Linked DNA regions of Xenopus tropicalis. The protein of the gene in region 1 purifies or fractionates together with the protein of each later gene. This does not show direct contact. Links are inferred from orthologs where the notes say so. Each region holds a gene or a part of one and is shown on either strand. Other genes may lie near its edges. The genes, in order: abl2 and rin1.

What was found.
Region 2: the proteins of abl2 (region 1) and rin1 purify together in Homo sapiens (co-immunoprecipitation; 3 studies listed by BioGRID and IntAct, counting the BioPlex papers as one, with this or other methods). This does not show direct contact. The link is inferred for Xenopus tropicalis from reciprocal best matches to the Homo sapiens genes ABL2 and RIN1.

The regions. Positions count from the first base shown.
Region 1 is NC_030680.2:99,866,740-99,879,517, reverse strand, and holds part of abl2 (tyrosine-protein kinase ABL2), read left to right. Parts: intron 1-6,684; coding exon 6,685-6,855; intron 6,856-7,135; coding exon 7,136-7,431; intron 7,432-8,092; coding exon 8,093-8,365; intron 8,366-9,928; coding exon 9,929-10,013; intron 10,014-10,358; coding exon 10,359-10,536; intron 10,537-11,846; coding exon 11,847-12,031; intron 12,032-12,668; coding exon 12,669-12,778. UniProt on the Homo sapiens protein: Non-receptor tyrosine-protein kinase that plays an ABL1-overlapping role in key processes linked to cell growth and survival such as cytoskeleton remodeling in response to extracellular stimuli, cell motility and adhesion and receptor endocytosis.
Region 2 is NC_030680.2:38,261,671-38,274,448, forward strand, and holds the start of rin1 (ras and Rab interactor 1), read left to right. Parts: upstream 1-2,926; 5' UTR 2,927-3,303; coding exon 3,304-3,445; intron 3,446-6,861; coding exon 6,862-6,988; intron 6,989-12,778. UniProt on the Homo sapiens protein: Ras effector protein, which may serve as an inhibitory modulator of neuronal plasticity in aversive memory formation. Can affect Ras signaling at different levels. First, by competing with RAF1 protein for binding to activated Ras.

The DNA.
Region 1 (12,778 bases):
CCAGGCCAGTATGGGGTAAAGCCCAGAAGTTTCAGTATCCCTAATTGCAATTGCAAGAGGACATCTGCATTTAGGAATGAAAGTGGTTGGTAAATGGTTATTTTAGGCTTTCATATACATTAGCTTTTAATGCTGACATTACAGCAACATTTCTGGGCTTTGCTCTCCCAATGGCTACATTATTAGATGTACATGATGACTTCTAAATACATTGAGGTTATCTGTGGCACCAAAACATTACTTGATTTCATTTAGAACACTAACACAAGACTCCAGCACTAGTCTTGCAGGAGAAAGGTAAAATGGCAAATGAAACTTCTATTAATAAACCTTTGTATGAAAACAAACAGCTTGTGGAATTACTCCACCTGCTTTGATGCAAGAAGGAATACTTGAGTTGGACCTGCTCAAAGATTCAGATGTATTATTTAAAGTATCCATGTCTATGCACTGATTTTTTGTGTGTATGTGTTGCAGTGGTGCCTTAGTTTTGTATTCAGCGATGTGGCCTACCTGTTGGAGTCATTCTGATATTGTTTCCACATTAATTTATTGTAAGGGCTATTTTAGTTAAGGCTGTCTACTGCATTGAAAGGACTTTGCATGGGACACAATTCATGCAGGATAAAGCAGTGGGGTGAATGATTACCACTGTGTGTTCCACTATTTCTCACTTTTGCTGCTGCAGGCTGATATACCCTTATAATCACTGGCTTTGTTTTAGATTCTAGTGATCTATATTTTTTTCTCATTTTTGTGAGACAGGTGACAGTATCACTTTAATTTTTGAGCTCTGTAGAACACCCACTTGCCAGTAATCCAGAAGCCTTACACACACACCCTGAAGCTAGACAACAGCTGGTTTGGCATCACAGAGCTTCAAAACTGCATGTGTATCATTTTATACAACTTGTCCAACACAAGCCACCCAGCTGTCGCTGGAACACACCCACACAACAGGCCTGTTAACAGCTGGCTCAGACACTGCCAGTAAAGGCCTTACAATGAACAACTTACAACAAATTATTGAAACAAAATATTTAATGAGCAAACCCATTTGTAATATCAATGAATCTGCAATAAATAAACCACAGCCAGAACTGATTGTATAACAAAGTTGTTATGGGTAGTGCTAATCTTTTGTCCTGTAAAATTTGACTTATTTGGAGTAATTGGTTGACAACAGTTTTTGACGTTATTAATTTTAGCTTATGATTTGTATTCAATGTAACCATGTAATTTTTTGCCACCAGTTGCAGTTTCCTGGTTTGTTTCAAATTGTTTTGCAAGGAATTGGTAAAATCCTCCAGACATTCGCTCTGCCCATGTGGGGAATGGACAATGGATCTTGACTGTTAAAGTCCTGGTGTTTGCTCTTAAGGAGCACTCCCAAATTCTGCCATATGTATATGTTGTTCTTTAAGATATGCTGCACATGCATTCTTCTTTCTTTGCTTTATGTGAGCTTTTTGGAAGCTATGAAAAGGGAAATTAGCTTCAGAGCAGTATTTTTCCCTTTTTATCTGGATCAAAGACATGAACTTTAAAGGGATTCTTTAAGCCTTGTCTCTATAACAATTAATCTCTAATGTTACACTGCTTTGTATTTATTCCTGTAATGGCCTGTTTGTTCCATTAATTTATTGTTCTGATGTACAGCCCTGCTTACATGATTAGTGCTATATTACTTTAAATATACATACAAGACTGAATTTACATTTAGTGCTGGGCAGTTTCCTAAAGTAATAACATGTAAGTGGGTCTATATGTTTAGCCAGAATCTCGACCAAAAGGTATGATGGAACTTTGTAAAAGGAAAGATGAGGGTAATGGCCTATGTAAGCATAATTGTTACTGTAACGACCTTTGATTTGCAAGTAAATAAACTTTCCCAACTTGTGCTGTTTAACAGCAACTTTCCATTGTTTTCTGGCACAAACTTAAGTTTTCATTATAGTGCCCCTAGAACAAAAGTCTATAGTAGCAGTGTGGAAATTCATTATGAAATGTACTAGACAGCTGCTTGCAGGGACAGTTTGTTGACACTACATTAACAGGCAATGAAAACAAGCATTTATATTGCAGGTATATTAATATGAACTGCATTTATATGTTGGTTGTATGTTACACAGAAAGAAATTGGGTGCTGCTTAGGGTTCTCTGGGGGTAGAGGGCAAAAAAGTCTACCGTGACGGTATAACTACTTTATTAGTTACTGTTGCTTGCAGTTGTGTAGAGAAACAATCCACATTGTTCTTGAGGGAATGTAGCTCTGACTGTCTGGTCTATAGCCCTAATAAAGATGTGTTGCTGTTTGCATGTCTCTTTCTATGGGGAGAACATTGAATGATTATACTTGAAAAGTCACCCATACTAATCATCTAATTTGACTTGGCTTTACTACAAGGCTTCTTTCCAATATGTGGTGCTGTCAAGACATTAGTGTGGTACAAAGTAGGTAAACAGAATTCCACCCTGGAGCAGATCTTTCCTCTCCTCCCATACAGCCCAGCCCAGCATCTTGAAACAGCAGCTGGTGCTACTCACAAGCCATTGCTTGTAATTGGACTCTAAAGCTTAACATTGGTCTCCTCCCTTCCCCACCCAGCCCTTCAAATTATTTTGCTATGCCAGCCTCCTCGCTTTTCTGAGAGTCGTCATACAGATCTGGGTTTATGCCACATTGTTAGCTGCATTTTGTATTAAGTCGGTGATGATCCTTGGGCCTGTCCTGGCCTCTTGCAAAAGATTAAATGGCAAGAGACACATGAAAGGCATATCTTTTTGGGACCAGTCCTTCCTGCAACATGTTGTCTTCTGCTCAGGTACTGTGCATGATCTTTCAGGTGGAATAGATGGGCTGTATATGACGAGAAGTTTGAGTGTTTTTTATTTATTTTTGCTGTTGTTCGTGCCTAATGTGTATGTAGCGCATATATATATCTCTCAGCAAACAGTTTTGTATGGCTACATTTCTTTTCGTTATTGCAGACTGTAGAGTGGTTTTATATTCAATTTTGAAAATAGTAATTAAAGCTAAAGGAGCACATGCATTTACCTGCCTTATAAAGGGTGCATTCTAAGGACCTGTCAGTAAGTAAGAAGTAGATCTGAATGAATAAGACTGCTAACAATGAAAAGTGGATAGTGTAGCTAAGGAGAGTGTCTCTTGACTGGGAATTACAGATACATACATGTATTTTTGAATCAGACCTTCTGAATTACGACCTGCAGCTGTTTTAAAAACAGAAGTCAATTTATCAAAATTAGAAATTGTGAATTTTTCAAGTTCTTTCAAACTCTAAAACTTGCTAAACTTGATAATACAAAGAACTTGATCAAATTAAACAGTGAAAAAAAACTTGAACGCAGCAAATTTGCATTCAACTCATTATTTTCATTTGCTCCACAAACTCCCCAAAAAATCTGAAAACTTGAAACTGAAAATATCGCTTACATTTTGCTAGGTCAATTCCCATTGTCTTCTACATAAACTTGCTAGCTTTTGGATGCCAAAGTTACACGCTTGACTTTCTTTTGCACTTAATATTAATGATTTACTTTTAGAAATCCTAATTAAAATGTGTGCATTTTAGCATTAAATAATTTGATAGACACCAAAAATTCACATTGATAGATCAGCCTTTATGTCTTTAAATCTTTAAGTATGATTTACTTCCCTCATTTAGTTTTATCACTTTTCTTTGTAGTCCCGTGTATTTCAGTGGTTGCTTTGAATTCAAAACACGTTTAAAAATTGTGTGTTTATTTAAATTTACATATATATTTTGAGAGGGGGACGGGGGATCTGTCTGGCTCACACCACAGCCTGTTATTAGCAGTTAACATGATGTCATGTAGCAGAAATAAGTGCTCGCTAATGGTCAGTAAAAGGAGTCTAGAAACCTGGGATCATGTTTGTCTGCATTTCATTATCGCCTATTTATATCACTTGTTTCTGCCACCAGATTCCTCCACTGTCTGTCCACTCTCTGCCAGAACTGCATCCTCTTTTTAGCATCTTGTCTGCTAAATGGTGTTGATTGTTCCACATTGACACTGCACTTGCATGAGAATTTGGTTGTTTTTTAGTCATTTTGTCTAGTAATTAAATTCTGTGCCACTGTATGCTAGATTTGAGTAAATGCAATTCAAATCTTTTATATATGTGTATATAGTGCTGCTTGTATGTGCAATGCATATAAAGTGCATTAATAATATTGAAATAGCAGCTGACACAGAAAATGCTTTTATAAATGAGCAGAATAATTACATTTGCAGCCAAAAAGTTTTAGTCTAATGATTTATGGAAAAGTTGCAAACATTTGTAAAACAAAACAATATTAAATGTAATAACATTTTGATTTTGGGGAAATGCCAAATTTATTTTTAAGAATCCCAATTTGACCTTATATAAATCTTAGCGCCCCATTATAAGAGGCACAGTTGAAAGGAGGTTCTTGCCCTGCAGAGGGCACCTACTCTGGCTCCTGTTAAACTTTCCAAGTATGAAGGTGCATTAATTCTAAGAAGTGGGAAGGGAAGAGACAGGTCAATATGGAACTGTGTTAGGGTATTGCAGAGAGAAGTGGTGTATGCTTTGTAATATATTCATGCCCTTGTGCATTTGTCTTTGCTCTCATTTAAATAAAGGGGTTTATATTTAGGAGGGTGCCGATCCCTCTGGCAGTGTGCACCGGGCGTTCTGGTTTGGAGAGCTAGGGTGTGCGGAATAAGCCTCTGTTGTACTTACAGGTCCTTTTCAAAAAATTAGCATATTGTGATAAAGTTCATTATTTTCTTTAATGTACTGATAAACATTAGACTTTCATATATTTTAGATTCATTACACACAACTGAAGTAGTTCAAGCCTTTTCTTGTTTTAATATTGATGATTGTGGCATACAGCTCATGAAAACCCAAAATTCCTATCTCAAAAAATTAGCATATCATGAAAAGGTTCTCTAAACGAGCTATTAACCTAATCATCTGAATCAACAAATTAACTCTAAAAACCTGCAAAAGATTCCTGAGGCTTTTAAAAACTCCCAGCCTGGTTCATTACTCAAAACCGCAATCATGGGTAAGACTGCCGACCTGACTGCTGTCCAGAAGGCCATCATTGACACCCTCAAGCAAGAGGGTAAGACACAGAAAGAAATTTCTGAACAAATAGGCTGTTCCCAGAGTGCTGTATCAAGGCACCTCAGTGGGAAGTCTGTGGGAAGGAAAAAGTGTGGCAGAAAACGCTGCACAACGAGAAGAGGTGACTGGGCCCTGAGGAAGATTGTGGAGAAGGACCGATTCCTGACCTTGGGGGACCTGCGGAAGCAGTGGACTGAGTCTGGAGTAGAAACATCCAGAGCCACCGTGTACAGGCGTGTGCAGGAAATGGGCTACAGGTGCCGCATTCCCCAGGTCAAGCCACTTTTGAACCAGAAACAGCGGCAGAAGCACCTGACCTGGGCTACAGAGAAGCAGCACTGGACTGTTGCTCAGTGGTCCAAAGTATGTCATTCGGAAATCAAGGTGCCAGAGTCTGGAGGAAGACTGGGGAGAGGGAAATGCCAAAATGCCTGAAGTCCAGTGTCAAGTACCCACAGTCAGTGATGGTCTGGGGTGCCATGTCAGCTGCTGGTGTTGGTCCACTGTGTTTTATCAAGGGCAGGGTCAATGCAGCTAGCTATCAGGAGATTTTGGAGCACTTCATGCTTCCATCTGCTGAAAAGCTTTATGGAGATGAAGATTTCATTTTTCAGCACGACCTGGCACCTGCTCACAGTGCCAAAACCACTGGTAAATGGTTTACTGACCATGGTATTACTGTGCTCAATTGGCCTGCCAACTCTCCTGACCTGAACCCCATAGAGAATCTGTGGGATATTGTGAAGAGAAAGTTGAGAGACACAAGACCCAACACTCTGGATGAGCTTAAGGCCGCTATTGAAGCATCCTGGGCCTCCATAACACCTGAGCAGTGCCACAGGCTGATTGCCTCCATGCCACGCCACATTGAAGCAGTCATTTCTGCAAAAGGATTCCCGACCAAGTATTGGAGTGCATAACTGAACATAATTATTTGAAGGTTGACTTTTTTTGTATTAAAAACACTTTTTTTTTATTGGGAGGATGAAATATGCTAATTTTTTGAGATAGGAATTTTGGGTTTTCATGAGCTGTATGCCACAATCATCAATATTAAAACAAGAAAAGGCTTGAACTACTTCAGTTGTGTGTAATGAATCTAAAATATATGAAAGTCTAATGTTTATCAGTACATTACAGAAAATAATGAACTTTATCACAATATGCTAATTTTTTGAAAAGGACCTGTATATTTAGGAGGAGCCCAGGGTTTACTGTTGTGTTTCAGGGACACTATATTGTGTATGCATATGTTTTTTTATAATGTGTAGATAATCCACTAAAGGGGACATATTGTGTGAAAAACAATACTGTGTAAGTTGTACTCATCTAAATATAGAAGGAATGTGTTTTTAAAAGTAGTTTTTTGGTCTGACCCCTGAAACACAGACAGCAAGCTCCAGTAAAGGGGCTATTTTTACAGGTAGTATTAATTTTTAGACCAAAGTGAAATCAGCTCCATATATACCTGTATATGTTTCAGCCGTAGCTTTACTTTTTGCATCTTATTTCCTTATTAACTCTGTGTTCTTTTCCAGAAGCACTACATCGTCCTTATGGCAGTGACTCTGAACCACAGGCTCTTACTGATGCTATCCGCTGGAGTTCCAAGGAGAATCTTTTGGGAGCCACAGAAAGTGATCCCAATCTCTTTCTTGCCCTTTATGATTTTGTTGCCAGTGGCGACAACACACTAAGCATCACCAAAGGTATGTGAAATGAACATGCACATTAGCTACTTTTATTTGCTGCAGTGTCATGATAATTTTATAAGTACCAAATATTTCCTGGGGGTAAATCTACTGTTTCTGACCATGTAACTGTACTGTATGTCTATATATTTTAACAGAAGGGGAATTAAACAAAAATCCAGAAATCCTTTTTATTATTGATATAATATGATAAAAGCAACTTCTGCATTCAGTCCTTTTGAGTGACTTTTTGGAAGGTGATATTAGCCCGTTAATTAATAATTATTTTCTATTTTAGGGGAAAAGCTCCGTGTCCTGTGCTACAACCAGAATGGGGAATGGTGTGAAGTACTGTCTAAGAATGGGCAGGGTTGGGTGCCAAGCAATTACATAACTCCTGTCAACAGCCTGGAAAAACACTCATGGTATCATGGACCCGTGTCTCGGAGTGCTGCAGAGTACCTGCTCAGCAGCCTTATTAATGGTAGTTTTCTGGTGCGTGAAAGTGAGAGTAGTCCTGGTCAGCTCTCCATATCGCTACGCTATGAGGGCCGTGTTTATCACTACCGCATTAACACAGCTTCCGATGGGAAGGTGAGGAGGCCTATTTCTGCAACTTTACACGCAAAGTTCATTTATGAGCAACTTTCGATTATGACTGTATGTTGCCATTTAAATGATAATGGGCTTGAAACTGCCTTATTCATGGAATTTTAAAAATAGAATATTTCATAACCTTGGGCCATAAGAAGCCTTATTTTTGTCCTTTCTCGCTTCATAGGGCTGCTATACTTGTCTTTTATAGCTTCCCTATGAGAATAAAGGATGTCACCATGCAAAGTCCCTTTTATTATGCCTCCTTTCCCCATTGGTGTAGAGCTCTAATTTAAACACAGAGAAGTCTGAGAAGGAAAATGTGTTCATGTGTGAGTAAAAAGCACACACATTTAATCCCCTAACAGAAAAATAAAATGTGTCAAACACTTTGTGTACACTATATGTCCTGAAGGCTTATGTATGTGTATCCTTTATTTAGCATATTATCCCAGATCACCCTAGCACTTCTGCTCTATTACTTGATATATAATAGTGTTTATGCTGTTTCTGTAAGTACTAGTTGAATCAGCAAGAAATAGAGGTTATATGCACCAACGAGTGAATTTTGTGGTGCATATCTTCTTCAACAGCTGCTTCTTTGTTACTTCCTTATCAAATAAACAATGCCATTGCCTGACAAATACCTTTATTTCTCCAGGTGTATGTCACAGCAGAGAGTCGATTCAACACTTTAGCTGAACTAGTTCACCATCATTCTACTGTGGCTGATGGCCTTGTTACTATTCTTCACTACCCGGCACCGAAATGTAACAAGCCCACAGTTTATGGAGTGTCCCCTATCCATGATAAATGGGAAATGGAACGTACTGATATCACTATGAAGCACAAGTTAGGTGGAGGCCAGTATGGCGAAGTGTATGTTGGTGTCTGGAAAAAATACAACCTTACAGTAGCTGTCAAAACACTTAAGGTAATATAAAGATCTGTTATATAATGCAGAAACCTCCATTGTTAATGGAATACTGTCACAAGAAAACATTTAAAAACAGAATTATGCACTGAAATCCATTTTTTTAAAGCTGAAACAGATTTGTTATATTTAATTTTGGAATTTGATTTGGGGATAGCTGTTACCTTACCTGCCTAGGTGCCCCCAGCCACATCACTTGTACTCTGATACACTTTTGTCACTCTTTACTGCTGTGCTGCAAATTATGATTGATGTCACCCCCTCCTCCCCCCCCCCCCAGCAGCCAACAACTGAATAATGGACAGGTAACAAGATAACACCTCGCTGAAACCTTTGGTAAAGGATTCAGCAGTCTGAACTGATAGTGCCTACATGAGCTAATAGCACTCCTGGTACTGTTTTGAATTATGAGTGGGTAAGCAGGCAAAACTGCCTATAATGACCCCAATAATGTGTGGGTTCTCTGCCAGGTAAAATACACTGTGAAAATACAGCTCTATGTGCCCCATTACCTTTAATTAGTTTGTATAGTAAAGGAGATATAGATATATATACACAGTATGCACTTAATAATGGTACACTGTTTTTATGAACGATAACTACAGATCTTCATTATATTTTACAGTGAGGGATAGATGTAGAGGCACCCAAAATACATTAAGTGAGAAGCAGTGGGAACTTCAGCCCAAAATACATTAAATACAGTAAGAGGCAGTATAATGAACTAAATGGAATTAAAATACGAGAGGCAATACATTGACACCCGAGACCCCCTTCATATTTCCTGAAGGCTGGAGAAGATTAGCAATGTAGAGATCAAATGACTTAAGAAATTGTGCCTTGCTAAATGTGCTCATTATAGTGGCCCACCTAGTGGTAGACATGAGAATATCAACCCAGGTGGAGAAACCTGTTTTGCTGTTATGCGACTTGGGTTCTATTGACAGTACATTGAGTGGGAAAAAACTGCTTATCTGAAAGCAGTTCTATTGTGTAATGCTGACTTCTTCCGAAAGCTCAGAATCAGGCGCAATGCACTGAGATGGCTGCCTACACACCAATATTACAGCTAAAAAATACATTTGTTGGTTCTAGAAATTTTAAATGGTAGAATAAATTATTTGCAGTGTACACAGTGTAATTTAGAAAAAAGCACACCATAGAAATCATGCCAGAATCGCTTTATGAAAAAGTTGAATGCAACAAGTATTTCAACCATTAAGTCACAAGGCAGCATTCTTTTCACATAGTTCCAGCATCATTGCATCTGCTATGCAGAGCTGCATTCAGTGTTTTATACTAGACAAACACATTATGATGTGAAAGACTTTAGTGTGCAGATTTTAAGATGGCCTCTCATTTTTTCCATCCTTTTTGCTTTCGTGTAACTGCGACAGTGCCATTATTTTTTGCTTTGCAGCTCTGCTTACTTTACAAGTAGGTTTCTTCCCAGGCTCCAAGTAAGCCATTTGTGCTGGGGCCAAACAAACAAAAATGTTACATGTTTGCTTGGCTTATATATGTGATAATTTGTTTTAATATCTCTTTTTCTGCTCTATCCAGGAAGACACTATGGAAGTGGAGGAGTTTCTGAAGGAAGCAGCAGTAATGAAGGAAATTAAACACCCCAACCTAGTGCAACTTCTGGGTATGTAACCTAAAGAAAGTATTCAAAGCATTACCCATAAGAATGAGTGAATGTGTGTGTAATATGTACAGGATCTACATTAGTCTTTTGGCTCTCGGTTTCTTCCATTAGTCAGTCTGTCTTTGTTCCCTTTGGCTGTGTTTTTTTGATGCATGTACAAGTGTCTTCATTCTGTGATGCAGTGCACTGTCCAGGTAGAATGTAATACACTATTAAATGAAGGAATGAATATTTTTAGATACTACGTAAAAGTAAGAATGACCTTTGGGATACCTGCTTATTAAAACCTGTAATAGCCTATTCTTCCTACAATATATTTATCTGTCATCTTAACTATGTTCTTAGGTGTTTGCACACTGGAGCCCCCATTTTACATAGTAACTGAATACATGCACTATGGGAACCTTCTAGACTATTTACGTGAATGTAATAGGGAAGAGGTGACTGCTGTTGTGCTACTTTACATGGCCACTCAGATCTCCTCTGCAATGGAATATCTGGAAAGAAAGAATTTTATCCATCGGTGAGTTGCATATATAGGTACCTTGAGTAATTTTATAGTCCAGCAAATCCATCAGTAACACATTGTGAGGTCTGGGAACTTAAATTATAGCTTTGTGTCTTTCAGTTGGCAACTTTGTATACATAGTAGTGGGTTGCAAGATGTATCTATACGCAGACACTGAGTTTCACTTTGAAAATCCTAATACAAAACAATAAAATGTTTAGATAACTTACTAAAAGTGTTTATTAGAATACAAAAGTATAATATACAGTGGCAACTTTTCTCTCCCATTGTACACTTTTCATGCATCATTGACTATGAGCTGTGAGATCACAAAGAAATGCTAAAGCCCCAAAAATCTGAAAAATTTAGCTGTTTTTTTTTTTTACAAGTTCTGTTGGAAAGTAGGTCATTGCCAGTCTTACGGATCACTTTCTGACATTACTCTGCAGATGCTCTGAGTTAGTGTAGTAATTGTTTTTTGGGATTTAGTTATATGAAGCATTTTTTTAATTAATCCAAATTGCAAAAAATACTTGTTGAGGCACGTACTACGGTAGAACCCCCATTTTACATTTTTCGGCGGACCAGAATAAAATGGTTTATAATCTGGGAAAATTCAAAATCTGGGAAATGGACAAAAACAGTGTAAAACTTAACATAAGGCTATGTTAAATTGAGGTTTCACTGTACTGTAGTAAAAACAATTTGGCTGAAAGGTAAGCACCTGTACTACTCTAGCTTCCACTCATTACTAATGCATACACAGTGTGTATCTCTAAGGCCTCAAGGCTATGGTAGATAAAAAGTGATGAACAGACTGCAAGCCAGCACCAAACCGGATTCCACAATTTCTCCGTGTTCACCTTACTAGACCAAGAATTCTTCAATGATGAAGTTAATCTTCTTAAAACCGCCTTTATTCACTTAATTGGCAAAGACCAGGATAGCAACGTTCGAGGTCTACATTGACCCGTTATCAAGCTTTGGCTTGAAGCCTTAGCTTGATAAAGGGTCAATGAAGACCTGAACCTTACTATCCTGGTCTGTGCCAATTTTGTGAATAAAGGCGGTTTTAAGAAGATTAAATTCAAATTTATTTGTCTCATACACAGTATGATATAAAGTGAAATGCTTATACGATACGATTCATTTGGAGTGCTGTTCATAATTGGAGATTAGAAGTGATTGTCAATTCTGTATCCTGTTGTATTCATCTACACATGTTTAACCCCTTTAAAGTTAATAATCCCTTGAACTCATTAATGAGGATGTAAGGTTGTGTCCTTTTTTAATGTCTATACTAAATACCCTTGATTTTTCTGTAGGGATTTGGCTGCACGAAATTGTCTTGTGGGGGAAAATCATGTGGTGAAAGTAGCGGACTTTGGACTGAGCCGCCTTATGACTGGTGATACGTATACAGCACATGCTGGTGCTAAATTCCCAATTAAATGGACTGCTCCAGAAAGTTTGGCATATAATACATTCTCCATAAAATCAGATGTTTGGGGTAAGAGAGAGTTTGTTATGTACTTTATTTACTTTGTCTACTTTCTGATACTGCAATGTACTTTTATACCATTTAAAGAGGTGCAGGGGGGTTTGGTTTAAAATCCACTCTAATTCTAAATAACAGAGAAACGTCCTTAATGACATTCCTAGAACTTTCACTAAGGTGTATTTAAAATAATGTGACATATTCAGTATCAACCACATCACAACGTCAAATCGTTTTGGATGCGAGTGATTTGGTATAGAATATAAACAATTCCCTAATTCAGATTAGAGGTACATTAAATCTGATCGAGTCACAGTTAGTTCCCACATACCAATATCCTTTTGTTTTTAGAGTGTTTTCTCTATCAGTGTTTGCTCTATCTCTGCATGCCTTAAAAATATTATCAAGCTCATAGTGGAAGACTGAAGTACCTTTTAAAGCATTAACATAACCTCTCAGTCCTTTCTACTGACATCAGGTATTTGTGACATGAAATCAACCTTAAATCTCTCTCCAACATTACTGGAATTCTTTAAATTGCTAATAATCTGTATATTTGTAAATTAAATTTGTTGTTGAAAATATGCCAAGCTTTATTCTAAAATCTGCTGAAACCTGTCCTTAAGAAGCTTTCATTTGTTTACTGCAGCGTTTGGGGTACTTCTATGGGAAATTGCAACCTATGGAATGTCACCCTATCCTGGTATAGACCTTTCTCAAGTGTATGACTTGTTAGAGAAGGGATATCGCATGGAACAG
Region 2 (12,778 bases), about 62 Mb from region 1:
ACATTTTAAATTATTCGATTGAAATGGAGTCTATGTGAGATGGCATTCCATTTATTTGGAGCTTTCTGGATAGTTGATTTCCACATCTGGAAACCCATTATCCAGAAAGCACAGAATTACGGGAAGACCATGTCCCATAGACTACGTTTTAATAAAACAGTACCTTGTGCTTGATCCCAACTAAGATATAATTAATCCTTCTATTGGGTTTATTTAATGTTTAAATTATTTGTTAGTAGACTTAAGGTATGGAGATCCAATTGCAGAAAGATTCCTTATCTGGAAATCCCCAGGTCCCATACATGTACTGAACTTACTGTACCAGCTCTGAAGTTTAGCAATACCATAGTTGTAATGATCAAGGCCTTCAAAGTTGTCTACAGCTTCTGATCTTGTTAGCCTGTCTCTTAAGTGTCAGTGGAACTGCACATGCTCATTGTGCTCTGGGCTACTGTAAAGAAGTTAAACTTATGGATCATGTTAAATAATCAAGAATCCTATAACCTTTTTCTATGTATACAAACATCACACTGTATTTGGCTGAAGCAGTGAATGCTATCAAGAATTAATTTTTGAGAACCTTGCAAAGTGGAATGCTTTAATACACATAAACGTCACTTTTGCAAGGAAAGTGCTGCAAAGAACACCGGCTTTGGTCTGCTGAGCAGTGGAAAACACTTGTGGCTCATGCGTTATATTGTTCTCAACAAGTGGATGTTACACTGCCAAAGGAGCCTAGAGCTTGAATGCTGTTTTCCACATCTGTATAGCAACTCATTATTTTTCTAGGGTTTTCTAGCCTCTGCAACTTAATCAGATCAGTGAGCCAAGTGATTAGTATAGAGAGCAGTAGGAATCCCCTACGTCAGGGGTCCCCAACCTGCCTTACTTGTGAGCCACAGTTAAAAATAAAAAGAATTGGGGAGCAACACAAGCATCATAGAAGTTCATGGAGGTGCCAAATAAGGGCTGTGATTGGCTATTAGGTAACCTCTATGCACACTATCTGCTTACAGGAAACAGGTAGTAAATCTTATTTTTATTCAACCAAAAACTTGCCACCAAGTCTGAAATTGAAAAATAACTACCTGGTTTGGGGGCACTGAGAGCATCATCCAAGGGGTTGGTGAGCAACATATTGCCCCCGAGCCACTGGTTGGGGATCACTGCCCTAAGTTCCTAAAGTATAAGTAGGTTGGTAAAAGTATCTTGTAAATATAGGTTTTACTGGTTTCTGTGGGGACTTTACAGACTCTATACCTCAGTAAGCAGCTCAGTGTGGCAGAAACATGGAGAAATGTTTTCTGTAGTTTTAATTCAAAAGTACAAATAGACTGATAAAACTCCCAGGCTGGAAGCATGGTATCCTCCCACATACACAAAGGAAATATTCAGTACCTGGAAGATCAATATTTCTAACTGGTTTTATTACATCAAAGCAGCTTTAGATATTCTTAAATAGAAGGTGGAAACCATCTTATTTAAACATGGATTTATACAGATTAAAAAAGGAAATCAATGAAATTTTTTTTTTTTGCTTTTTTGCTCCATATTTTGGAGCTTTCTAGAGACCAAGTTTCTGGATAATAGATTCCAAAGGTAAGCATACAGCATGACTTAAGTGGCCATACACGTTAAGATCTTTCTCCCAGGGGGATATCAGGCTAATTTGATTGGTTGGCCCTATCAAATTACAATAACGGGTATAGGAGCCGTTGGTGCAAGGACTGCATTAATGAGCCAATGCGGTTCCCGATCTGATGGGAAAATCAAGCCTGCCCAATTGAATCCTGGCCAATTTTTCCCCAATTTTTCATGGTAGTCAAGGTTTTTAGATTTTTTGAACGCTCTATTTATTAAAAAACACCAAAAAATGTGTTTTTCGCATTTTTCTGTGTTTTTTGTTTGTGCTTTTTCAATTTGGATCTTTTAATAAATGACTAGACATTTGTAGTTTTAGTGGAAATTAGTTTATTTGTGTTTACAAAAAACTCAAAAGCCATAGATCTATCATCCATCTACCTGAAAAGCCCACAGTGCCAGCAGGGAGCATGGCACTAGCTGCAAAAGAAATGCTGTAAGGAGAAAGCAGGTCAGCACTCAGGTCTTATGAAGAACAAAATGGCACTTTATTTCAAGGAAACTAATGTTTTGGCTAGTGAGCTAGCTCCTTAAATAAAGTGCCATTTTGTTCTTCTTAAGACCTGTGAGTGCAGATATGTATATATGAGGATATGTTCCTCTATGGTTCATGAACATTATCAGAAAGTATAGTAGGTGATACCTTTTATTGGTTAATTTGGTAGGTAATAATAACATTGGTTATCATACCTGAAGCAGGGACCTAAGTTGTCCAGAAAGCTCACATTTCATAATCCACTAAATTAGCCAATACGAGGTATGACCTACTCTATATTTTCTGGTTTTGATTTATGGCTAACATGGTAGAACACTCTGCTACTATGGGTATAAACATTCTTTGAGCACAGCTGACAGTATTATCTATAAAGAACATAAGGTATTGCCCACAGCAGCAGTGCTGTCATCTCTGTGTGCAGCTGGCTGCCTGTTTTATGGAGTAGTTAAGAAGAATCCTCTTTATGATCCTGCTGGCTATATGTGATGTGCCCAGGCGTGCAGGCCAGGCGCACCTTCATTACGTCACTACAGGATTTGTTTAATCAGTAGTTATAGGAAAGGAATGTGATATCTCCAGGAGGCGAGAGCAGGTTGTGGGTGGTGAAAAAAGTACAGCCGTTAATTCCATAATTTATTTGGGTGCACTGGGGCAGGAAGTTTTAACACAGTATGAGATACCATGGAATAATACATGCTTTCCATGCTGGGATTCATATCCTTTCTCTGCGACTTACTAGGAGCTATATTTGCATTGCACAACATTTTAATCATAACATGTTAAATATCCATTTTGTCCTCTGACCCATTTACTGTAGAAATCCCTCCTTTATCTTCTCACTCCAGTCCTTTACAATCATTCCCGGATTTCACTCTTACTCATACTATGAAAATGCAGCTCCTTCCACTAAACTCATTCTTCTCCAATTCATTTCCTTTCCTTTTGTAGCTCAGAGTCTTTTTGCACTCTTTCTCTTTAAAATTTCTCCTTTGTCTCTCTCTTATGCACTCCCTCATTCTCTCTCTCCCTCACTCTCTTTCTTCCCCGCTAATGAAATGAATCTCTAAAGCTGCTTTGATTTAACAAGTCTCTGCAAAGCAGTCATGTGGGGAAGAAGAACAGTGAAAGAAAAACTGTAAGAGGGAGAAAAGGAGGGAGGAGAGTGCATGGAAATCATGAGTGAGCAAGGAGCCGCGTGTATACCTTGCAACACCCTAAGGGTTAGTCACCCTGGGAACACCCATGGGGGTGGGAAAAAGAGCAAGAAGGAGAATCTGGACTCACTGTCCCAGGCCGGAGCAAGGCAAGGTATGTACAACATAAAAGCTTAGACTTCTTTTGGATAAAAGAAAGCTTCTTTAGTTATTCTTAAGATTGTACATTCCTTTGAATGCCAGGTGATAAGCAGCAAATGCCCAGGAAAAGACACTTAAAGAAATACTTTTATAGTACTGAGGCTGTTTATATATTATATATATATATATATATACCAAGGATGAGTGAAAATAATTGCTGATAGGGAGCATAAAAATAGTTAATATACACTGGCATGTTTCACTTACGAAGTGGCAGATGTAAGTTGCAGGCTTCTGACATAAATAGTAGAAACAGATATACACTAAAAGCAATGTTGTCTGCAAAGCTTGCACTCTGTATAAATCTCATTTACACTACAGAACTTGCAGTATTGACATCATAAAGAGGGAAACTGAACCAGAGTTCCCAATTTTTAAGCTGTTTTATAAGTTTATATTCACTTCATTTTTAAATAAATATTTATTTACAATGAGATGTTTCTCTACATAACAGGGCTCATTTACTAATCACATGGGCACAATGTGTGGAATTTCAGTGCAATCTGCAATCTGCGCCTTGTACCAGACTAAAAGTCCTGGGCATGATGCAGAACGCTCCTGGTCCCTGATGGCTCTCCCTAGTTAGCCTGTCATTCAGATGCACAAGCTAAGCAATATCAAAGGAGATGCCCACCACTTGTCCCCTTATGAATTCAGTGCTGCTAAATTTAGGCAGCTTTGTACTCGGAGAAGTGAACACAGGATCTCAAGAGCTGTACCTTTGGGCACAATCCAAATTGGAAAGAACCAAAACATGGAACTTCCACATTTACATTTTGCATCTTGCCTTGTGTATAGGAAATGAGGACTAAGGACTCTATATGAGTCATTACAAATGCAGGTAAGGTGCTTTCAAGCTTGCTCCTTGCACTCGCATATAGTTGCATTAAGCGACATTAGGGCTCATTTTTGTTTGTGCAGTGGGCAACTTGTGCTTTTCTCTGCCATCAGTTAAACCTAAAACCACTTTTATTAAAGGTATTTGCATCAAGTAACTTCTCTATAGTTCCTTCAGTCCTTCCTGCCTTCCATTCAGAAACAGGCTGTGCTGCACTTGTTGATACAGGGGAACCCTGACCAGGGGGTAGCTCCAGGGTTCCCTCAGTCAGGGGCGCTGCTACCAGCAGCTATGGCAAGTGCCCCCATAGTTACCAGGGGCAGCAAAAAGTTGCTCCTAGTAACTTTAAGAGCCAAATTTCTATTTTTTTAAAACGGAAATTCGGCTCTTCTAGTGTAGAGAGCGCAATTGCACTCCCCCCCTGGACCCCCTTCAGTGCTGTAAAGCTAAGTGATGGGGGGCGGCATCGGAGGGGCCGCCTCAGGGGCCGAAAATGTCCCTGCCCTCAGCGCCCTGTATAAATAGGCGCAGCACACTTGCACCTAAAGTACTGGTCACTGGAAATGATGCCGGGCAGACTTAGAAAATATTTGCCACAACAACAACCGATTTGCAATGAAGTGCATGCATCTTATTGAATCGCTATAGCAACTGTGGTGGGCACAGCCCAATTGTGTCAAAAGAACAGCCAGTTTGTGCCTGCAATGATGCCAGAATTATGCCAAAAAAAAGCATTGTGGGAAAAACATGGTAATTGTACTTGATATTGCACTTTGTACACTGCATCTAAGTAAGTGAATGTGCTCTTTTGTGTCCACCCTGCCTCTCTTACTGAATTATGCACATTTGTAGTGGTAAATCTAGTGGGGTGCATTGGTTGGGGTAGAAGAATTGCTCCAAAAAATCACACAATAATTCTGTTTTAACCCCATGTCCCAGAAGTGCCAGAATCTCTGCTTTGAAAATGCTAGCATCTGATTTGCTAACATGCACATGTGCAGTTTTGATTAATTGGGTACAATTGTGCTAGAGCACTGCATTTAGAAATTACTCTGCTATCGGTCATTCAGAAACAGCACTCTCTATTGGGCAAATTATTAAGTACTACTAAGATACTGGAGAAAACAAAGCAATAAGGAAATACTTATGCTAGGTCTTAAAGTTATACTGACACCAGAAATTAACCTTTTTTATACATCTATCATAATATTGTCTTTGCATGCTATTTATAATTTTGCCTTAAAAGTATTTGCCTGATGTTTTTACATTACCTATCTGATGCCCCTCGTTCTTCTATGAGAGGGAGGCCATATTTGTGCAGCAGGGGTCCGTTAGCATTAGAAGTTGTAACTGACTGGATGAGAAGAGACAGTCAGGTTGGCAAAACAGTCAAGTTTAGGAACTTCAAATAACAATTACATACAAAAGCAGCCCTGTTAGCAAAAAATGATCAACATGACCTATAGGTAACTTTAATTAACATTATTATTTTGAAAAAAGTGTTTTTGGGTCAGTATCTCTTTAATAATAAACAGGCAAAAGTTCAAAAAGAAGGTATAGTGACCCTTATCTGATCCCCTACAGGAACAGACTGAAACCCACATCATTGATATAAAAAAACATGATAGCAAACTGTATATTGTTCTTTTTTACAGCTGCAAAGCAAACAGGTGAGCACGTAGTTAGTCATCAATAGAAAGCAATAGTTCCATTGCCATGATAACCCCTTAAGGGTTATGGCAGCCTTATCCTTGCTAATTCCAATTTTTCCATGTGGTTTGCACCATTGACACAACTGTCATTACTAACTCTGACACGTTGGCACAGGGGAAGTTATACCATCCCATTACAAAAAGGCAAACTGTGCTACATTATTTCCTGTCAGGTGATCTCTTAGGGAGCCCTCAGACCATCACAAAATGGTGGCTCAAGATGTAAAAGGGCAATATTTACTGATATACTGTATATATTCCAGATAAGTAAGATTATTTAATAGAGCACTTAATATGTTATAAACTATAATCTGTTGGTTAAGTACTCATTCTGAAGATATAAATTGACAAATTGATTAAGGTGTGCTACACAATGGACAAACCAGCTAATTGTAGCCCCAGGTGCAAGCTGAACCCTCAGCCAGGGTAAAACAATATCCAGGATAAAATGAAAAAACAGCAGCACTCCGGAAATGTTGTAGAAAAAAGTGACTTTACTCAAGTGCACACAGCACTGTGCACTTGAGTAAAGTCACTTTTTTCTACAACATTTCCGGAGTGCTGCTGTTTTTTCATTTTATCCTGGATATCATTTCATTCTGAAGATATAGTTTTCCTTTAAACTCTGGGGAAAAACACTGCATTGTGGGTAAAAAGCATGGCAATTTGATTCTGAGTTGCACTTTGCACATTGCACTGTGTTCCTCATTAAGCCCGTATTTTAATGTACACTTTCAAATCTCTTTTAATTTGAGTTTTGTTTATAATCTGTCTGGATATAATTGCAATGTGATCGTGTAATCCTGTCCCTAATTTCAGATCACACTGGCTGGAGTAAAATCAGGCAGACACAGTGGAATTTACTTGGACACAGTCTGAGCAGCGGCACTGAGGGGGCAAATCAAGAGAAATATTCCCTTTGCAGGGTAGGACCTTCTTGCACAAGGTATGCTACTCAGCACTTCTGCTCAAATGTTGGCATTGTATAGTCTTACTAAATGTATTAGTAGCTAAGAAAATAAGCTTAGAGAGGCAAAAAGAAAACTCCACAGTAGTTTTAAAATCTGAAAAGCACTGAATGCATTTATCAAGAAGGAAATGTTTGGAACAGCATACAAGCTAAACATAAATATTTTAAAGGGGCAATGTGGGATATCAATAACTTTTAGCTAACTTTGTTGTTGCAGCCATCATCCTGCTATGTTTTCTCTTTTGGATTTTAATTAGTTTAACCATTAAGTAAAGGGGACAGCTTTTAAAAAAGATTATGGTCACCTGGATGGCATAATACTGATATACAGGTATCGGACCCCTTATCCGGAAACCCATTTTCCAGAAAGTTTCGAATAACGGAAAGGCCATCTCCCATAGACTCCATTTTAATCAAATAATTCAGAAATTTAAAACTGATTTCCTTTTTTCTGTAGTAATAAAACATGTTATTGATCCTAACTAAGATATAAATAATCCTTATTGAATGCAAAACAATCCTTTTAGTAGACTTAAGGTATGGAGATCCAAATTACGGAAAGACCTCTTATCTGGAATACCCTTTGGACCCCGTATAGGACCCCTTATCCAGAATGCTTGGGACAAAGGGTATTCCGGATAAGAGGTTATTTGAATATTATTATTAGTGAATAATTTTTCCGAGCATTCTGGATAATGGATTCCTATTACATACAGTAAGCATGTTATACAGTGCTTCATTATTAGACATAGCATGGTATATTACATGGCATTACATGGCGTACTGTTGAAAGACAATGTAATTCTTAAGAAAATTTTATATATACAGTATATACTATATTTAGTATATATATATATATATATTTTTTTTTTTTTTTTTTTTTTAAATTCTATGAGTGTATGGGACCTGTTATCCAAAATGCTCAGAACTTGAGGTTTTCCAGATAAGGTTGTCTTTCCATAATTTGGATCTTCATACATTAAGGGGCAGATTTATCAAATCACGAGTTCGAATCCCGAATGGGAAAAATTCAGATTGGAAACGAAAATTTCTGAAGATCACAAATATCACGAAAATGCTTACGAGAAAATCGTATTAGTCACGATAATATCGTATTGGCGATTCGAAAGTCACGAAATTTTCATACCGTACAATTGTAAACAGCAGTAAAACCTTTCCGATTTTTTCGTGCAAGCGTTTGTGCAGCGTACAGATAGTCGTGCGCCGTACGAAAAAATCGCATGGACGTACGAAAAAATCGGCGAAATACGCTCAAAGCATTCGAATGAACGCTCCAAGCGTTTGTGATTTGGTAAATGTGCCCCTAAGTCAACTAAAAAATTATTTAAACAGTAATTATATCTTAGTTGGGTACAAGTTACTGTCTCATCATAGAGAGAAAAAATAAATAATTTTTAAAAATTTTAATTATTTAATTATTTGATTAAAATTCAGTCATTGGGAGATGGCCTTTCTGTAATTCAGAAAACTTGTTGGATAATGGATTTTTGGATAATAGGTCCCATACCTGTAATTTTAAAATCCCATAATATATATATATATAGTACTTCACGCTGTGCATCAGTTCCCAGAATGAATATTCAGTGCAACTTATTAAAAATATATGGAACAAGCATTATTTTACAGCATAGAACAGTATGCTTATTATTAGTACATTTGTAGTGCAGTAGAGAATTTAAAGCAAACTTACTCAGCATGATTTTACAGAACTGCCTGGTAAGTATGTGTATGTGTGTGGGCAGATGGATGGCACTCAATGTAGAACTATACAAGTGTTAACAATAAATGAGAGCTCCCAACATCTATACTTTCTGTTGTTCGGTTGAGTTCACCTTGCCAAGATGTTAGCTTTCTTGCATTTATGGCCAGACTCCCAGATGTTCTCGGAGATCTTATTCTTCCCATCACCTCCTGAGATCAGAGCCAATGTAATAAATAGACAAACAGAGCACTTGCCCAGGGCCCACAAGGACAGGGAGCCCACAAACGGTCTTTTTATATGGTATCATTTTTAATGGAAGCATCCCCCAGAGATGTCAGGCCCCTCATTTTAATCAAGTGGAAATGGAGCTCTACAGCATGGCCATTTTTATGTTTTTTTATTCACTTTACCTTTATATTGGAGCCTATGTTCATTAGGGATCGTTTTAATAAAAAGCTGTTATCTTTATTTAAGACATTTTTTTTAAGCTGAGTGTTTAAAGCATTCAAACTGTTTACAACAGAGAAGAGAAAAGAAGTGGTTAAAGTACCTAGGCTGATAGAGTGTCTAGGCAGGATGATAAGATAAAAAAGTATCTGTGGTGCCAGTATCCCATATTTTGGTGTATTTAGCTTGGGGGTCGTGGTAACCATTTTTTTCCATGGTTGTTCTAAAGTCCAGTTGCTGGACTGGGTGATGGCAGGTTTTTTGTCTTCTTATTCCAAACTTTTTCTATTAAAAAGCCAGCTGTGTTAAATACATAAAATAGAAGCTTTTTGGTTGTATTTGGAAGGCCCATTGGATATAACTACAGTAGTGCTATTTGAGGTTGTTGATGTAGGTCACAGTGCAATGTGTTGTTATTCAGTTTGAAGACTTCCTTCCAGAAGAGATATACCAAGGGGCAATGCCACCACATGGGTAACAGTGACCCTTGCTAACTGCTCAGTCTCCAGCATTGGCTTGAATAGGGAGGGGTAATTTAAGCTACAGATTTTGGTGTAAGTAACCACCTGTGGGTCAATTTGATATGCTTCTCTATGTGGTTTGTACAACAGGTAGCTCCTTTTGGAGCTGAAAGAATGTCTTGCCATTGATTAGATATGATGTGGAATTGCTTTTCCATTCCAGGCTTTTACGTACAGATACTCCATTATAGTGGCTTGTATCAAAGTATGGATATCAGGGAGGAATGTTTTAGTAAATGCAGATGCTGCATATGGATACATTTTTGAGTTTGTGGTAAGATATATTTTTGCACCAAATCCTAAAACCACCGTAGGGAGGTTGCAGAGTAGAGATGGCCTATGGTAGATAGTCCTCTAATGACCCATTCTTGTATGGAAATATTGAAGTTCACCTATTTGAGGGTAGGTCATCACAAATGTTTGGGGCAGTTGGGGCCTACCAATGGGATCTTTACCCTGGGCCCACTGATACCTTAAAGCTGCCCTGCCTGACATTCGGGTAATTTGAGGTGCACCTTGAAAGAGAGCAAAATAACTGAGAGGGATGCTGGGAAAGCAATGGGTACTTCACCTTTAAATGAACTTTTATTATGACATAGACATTGATATTCTAAGATAATTTGCAAGTTTTCATTTTTTATTTTATCATTTTTTTTATTTTATAAATATGCTTCGACACCATTATTCTCATATTTAATATTGCCATAGTAAAAGAAAAAGTTAAGATACGGGTATGGGATCTGTAACCTGGTAACCCACTATGCAGATGAAAATGGAATCTCCCATAGACTCAATTGAAATAAAATAATTAAAATTTTTAAAAATAATTTCCTTTTTCTCTGTAATAATAAAACAGTACCTTGTACTTGATCCCAACTAAGATATAATGAATCCTTATTGGAGGCAAAACAATCCTGTTTGGCTTATTTAATGTTTAAATTCTTTTTTAGTTGACCTAAGCTATGGTGATCGAAATTACAGAAGGATCCCTTATCCAGAAAACGACAGGTCCTGAGCATTCTGGATAATAGGCCCCATACCTGTACTAGACTTCACTTCTAGGTTCATTCCTGTCACATTTATATGGGCACGGAACTCCTTGGTGAAAGCAAATGCTGTCCATCAAATGTTTCCATCAAATGCTGGCTGCGGTGATATAATGTAGAGCACTTTGCTGCCAGGTTGGCACATCTGAGTCTTAACTTGTTCTTAGATGTCACAGGGAACATGTAAATTCTCTCCCTGAAGCAATTGTACTAACATTGCATAGTTTCAAGTAAGGATAGGTTTTATTTGCGCAAAAGGGTGAATTTGACAGACATATCTTTTTATTGCCAATTGTATTTAGCTTTTGTATTGTAACCGCAGTAACCTAGATTTGGCATCTCCTCTGGGTCTGCACAAGCTGCAAGCTGTTTTTTAATATCTATGTATACTGCCTTTATCAGAATGCAGAAGAAAGGTCTTGCTACTGAGAGAGTGGTGTTTTGGGGGTTCATTTATTAACACTGGGCAAATTTGCTCCTGGGCAGTTACCTGTGGCAGCTAATCAAATTTTTGCTTTAAAACTGATTATTAGTTAAAGGCCCCTCCGTGGGCGCGCACATATGTGCAAGTGAGTGAACGCACACAGGGGTTGTTGAGGCTGCTGGTGGGGGGTGATGCAGTGGGGGGAAAGGCACGGAAATAGGGGTAAGTGAAAGGAGAGGCACCTGCCTGGCGCCCCCTGCTGTTGCGCCCTAGGCAGGTGCCTCTTCTGCCTACCCCTAGTTCCGGCCCTTCTCAGCAGCAAATTTGTTGTTCTGCTTCAAAAATACTTTCTACCAGTCAGTTAAAATTAGCTTCACTTGACTTTCTTTAACCTGTCAGCTAATACCCACCCAGGGGCTGTATATATTTGTGGAACTTTTGAAAAATCTCATTTGTTGTGGAATACAACAACCAAACTTTCAGGCTTTTGAAGTGACAGTGAACATTAGCTGAATGCATTTCTGCTGGAGTGATTCTAGCATTTCTGCAGCCTGAAGTAACGGATGGAAACTAGAGATGCACCAAACCCTGCAACCGTCTCTCTGGGGCAAATCTGAGCCTTTTTTGCAGGGTTCAGATTTGGTAGAATCCAGAGTGATCCAGAATCCAGATTTGATTCAGGATTCAGCCAAATCTTTTGCAGTGGATTTGGTATTTGGACAAATCCTGAAATTGTGGACTTGGAGCATCTGTGTTGGAAATCCAACCCTTAGAACTACAAACAACTGTACAAACACTGAATCTTCATTCAGTTTGAGATGGGTAGGACAGGATGGGATCCCAAACCCATTATAGAAATTAACCCTACATTTTTCACATAGTGACATGGGGGGAAGTGGGGGATGCAAGGGGGGACTATTGTCTTGGGAAGCCACATGGTAACCCTATGCCAATTCTACTCTCCTGTACACACTAGCTCAGAGTAGTGCACTGCCCTAGACCTAGGAAAGCACATGTGAAGTCACTGCCAGGGTAGGCACCCTAGGCAACCCTGCGGCCATCATGCCCCCTTCCCCCGCACATATGCGCAAATGAGTGTAGTGATAATGTGTGAGCCAAAGGGAGTGCGCAGGGGAGAGAATGACCTTGGGCCTAGACCAGGGGTACACAGAAAAAAGAGTTATGTGCCTAATGCCCCTCCACCCTAGACACGTGCTTCTTCTACTGACCTCTAGTTCTAGCGTATTGAAGTATAGTCATTTTTACAACTTTAATATATTGCACATGCTCCAGCCCAGTGCAGCAGAAAAACTCCCTTGGAAATTCAAGGAAAACAAAACCCTAATTTATAGGAGTTTTGTTGTCCTTTAAACAATTCTGATTTTTTTTAACAGTTTTCTTTATTCTCTAATAATAATAAAGCAACGCCATTTACTTTATATTTAAGCAGCCTTTAAGTTTATGTTGCTGGCAAAACAAAGCTGTTGCTTTCTTTTAATGTTTTAATGTTTTGTAGCTTTTAGGAAAGGTGCTCTAAGTTACAGAAAGACCCCTCATCTGGAAACCCTAAGTTCCAAGCATTCTGGGCATAGATCCTCAATTTGT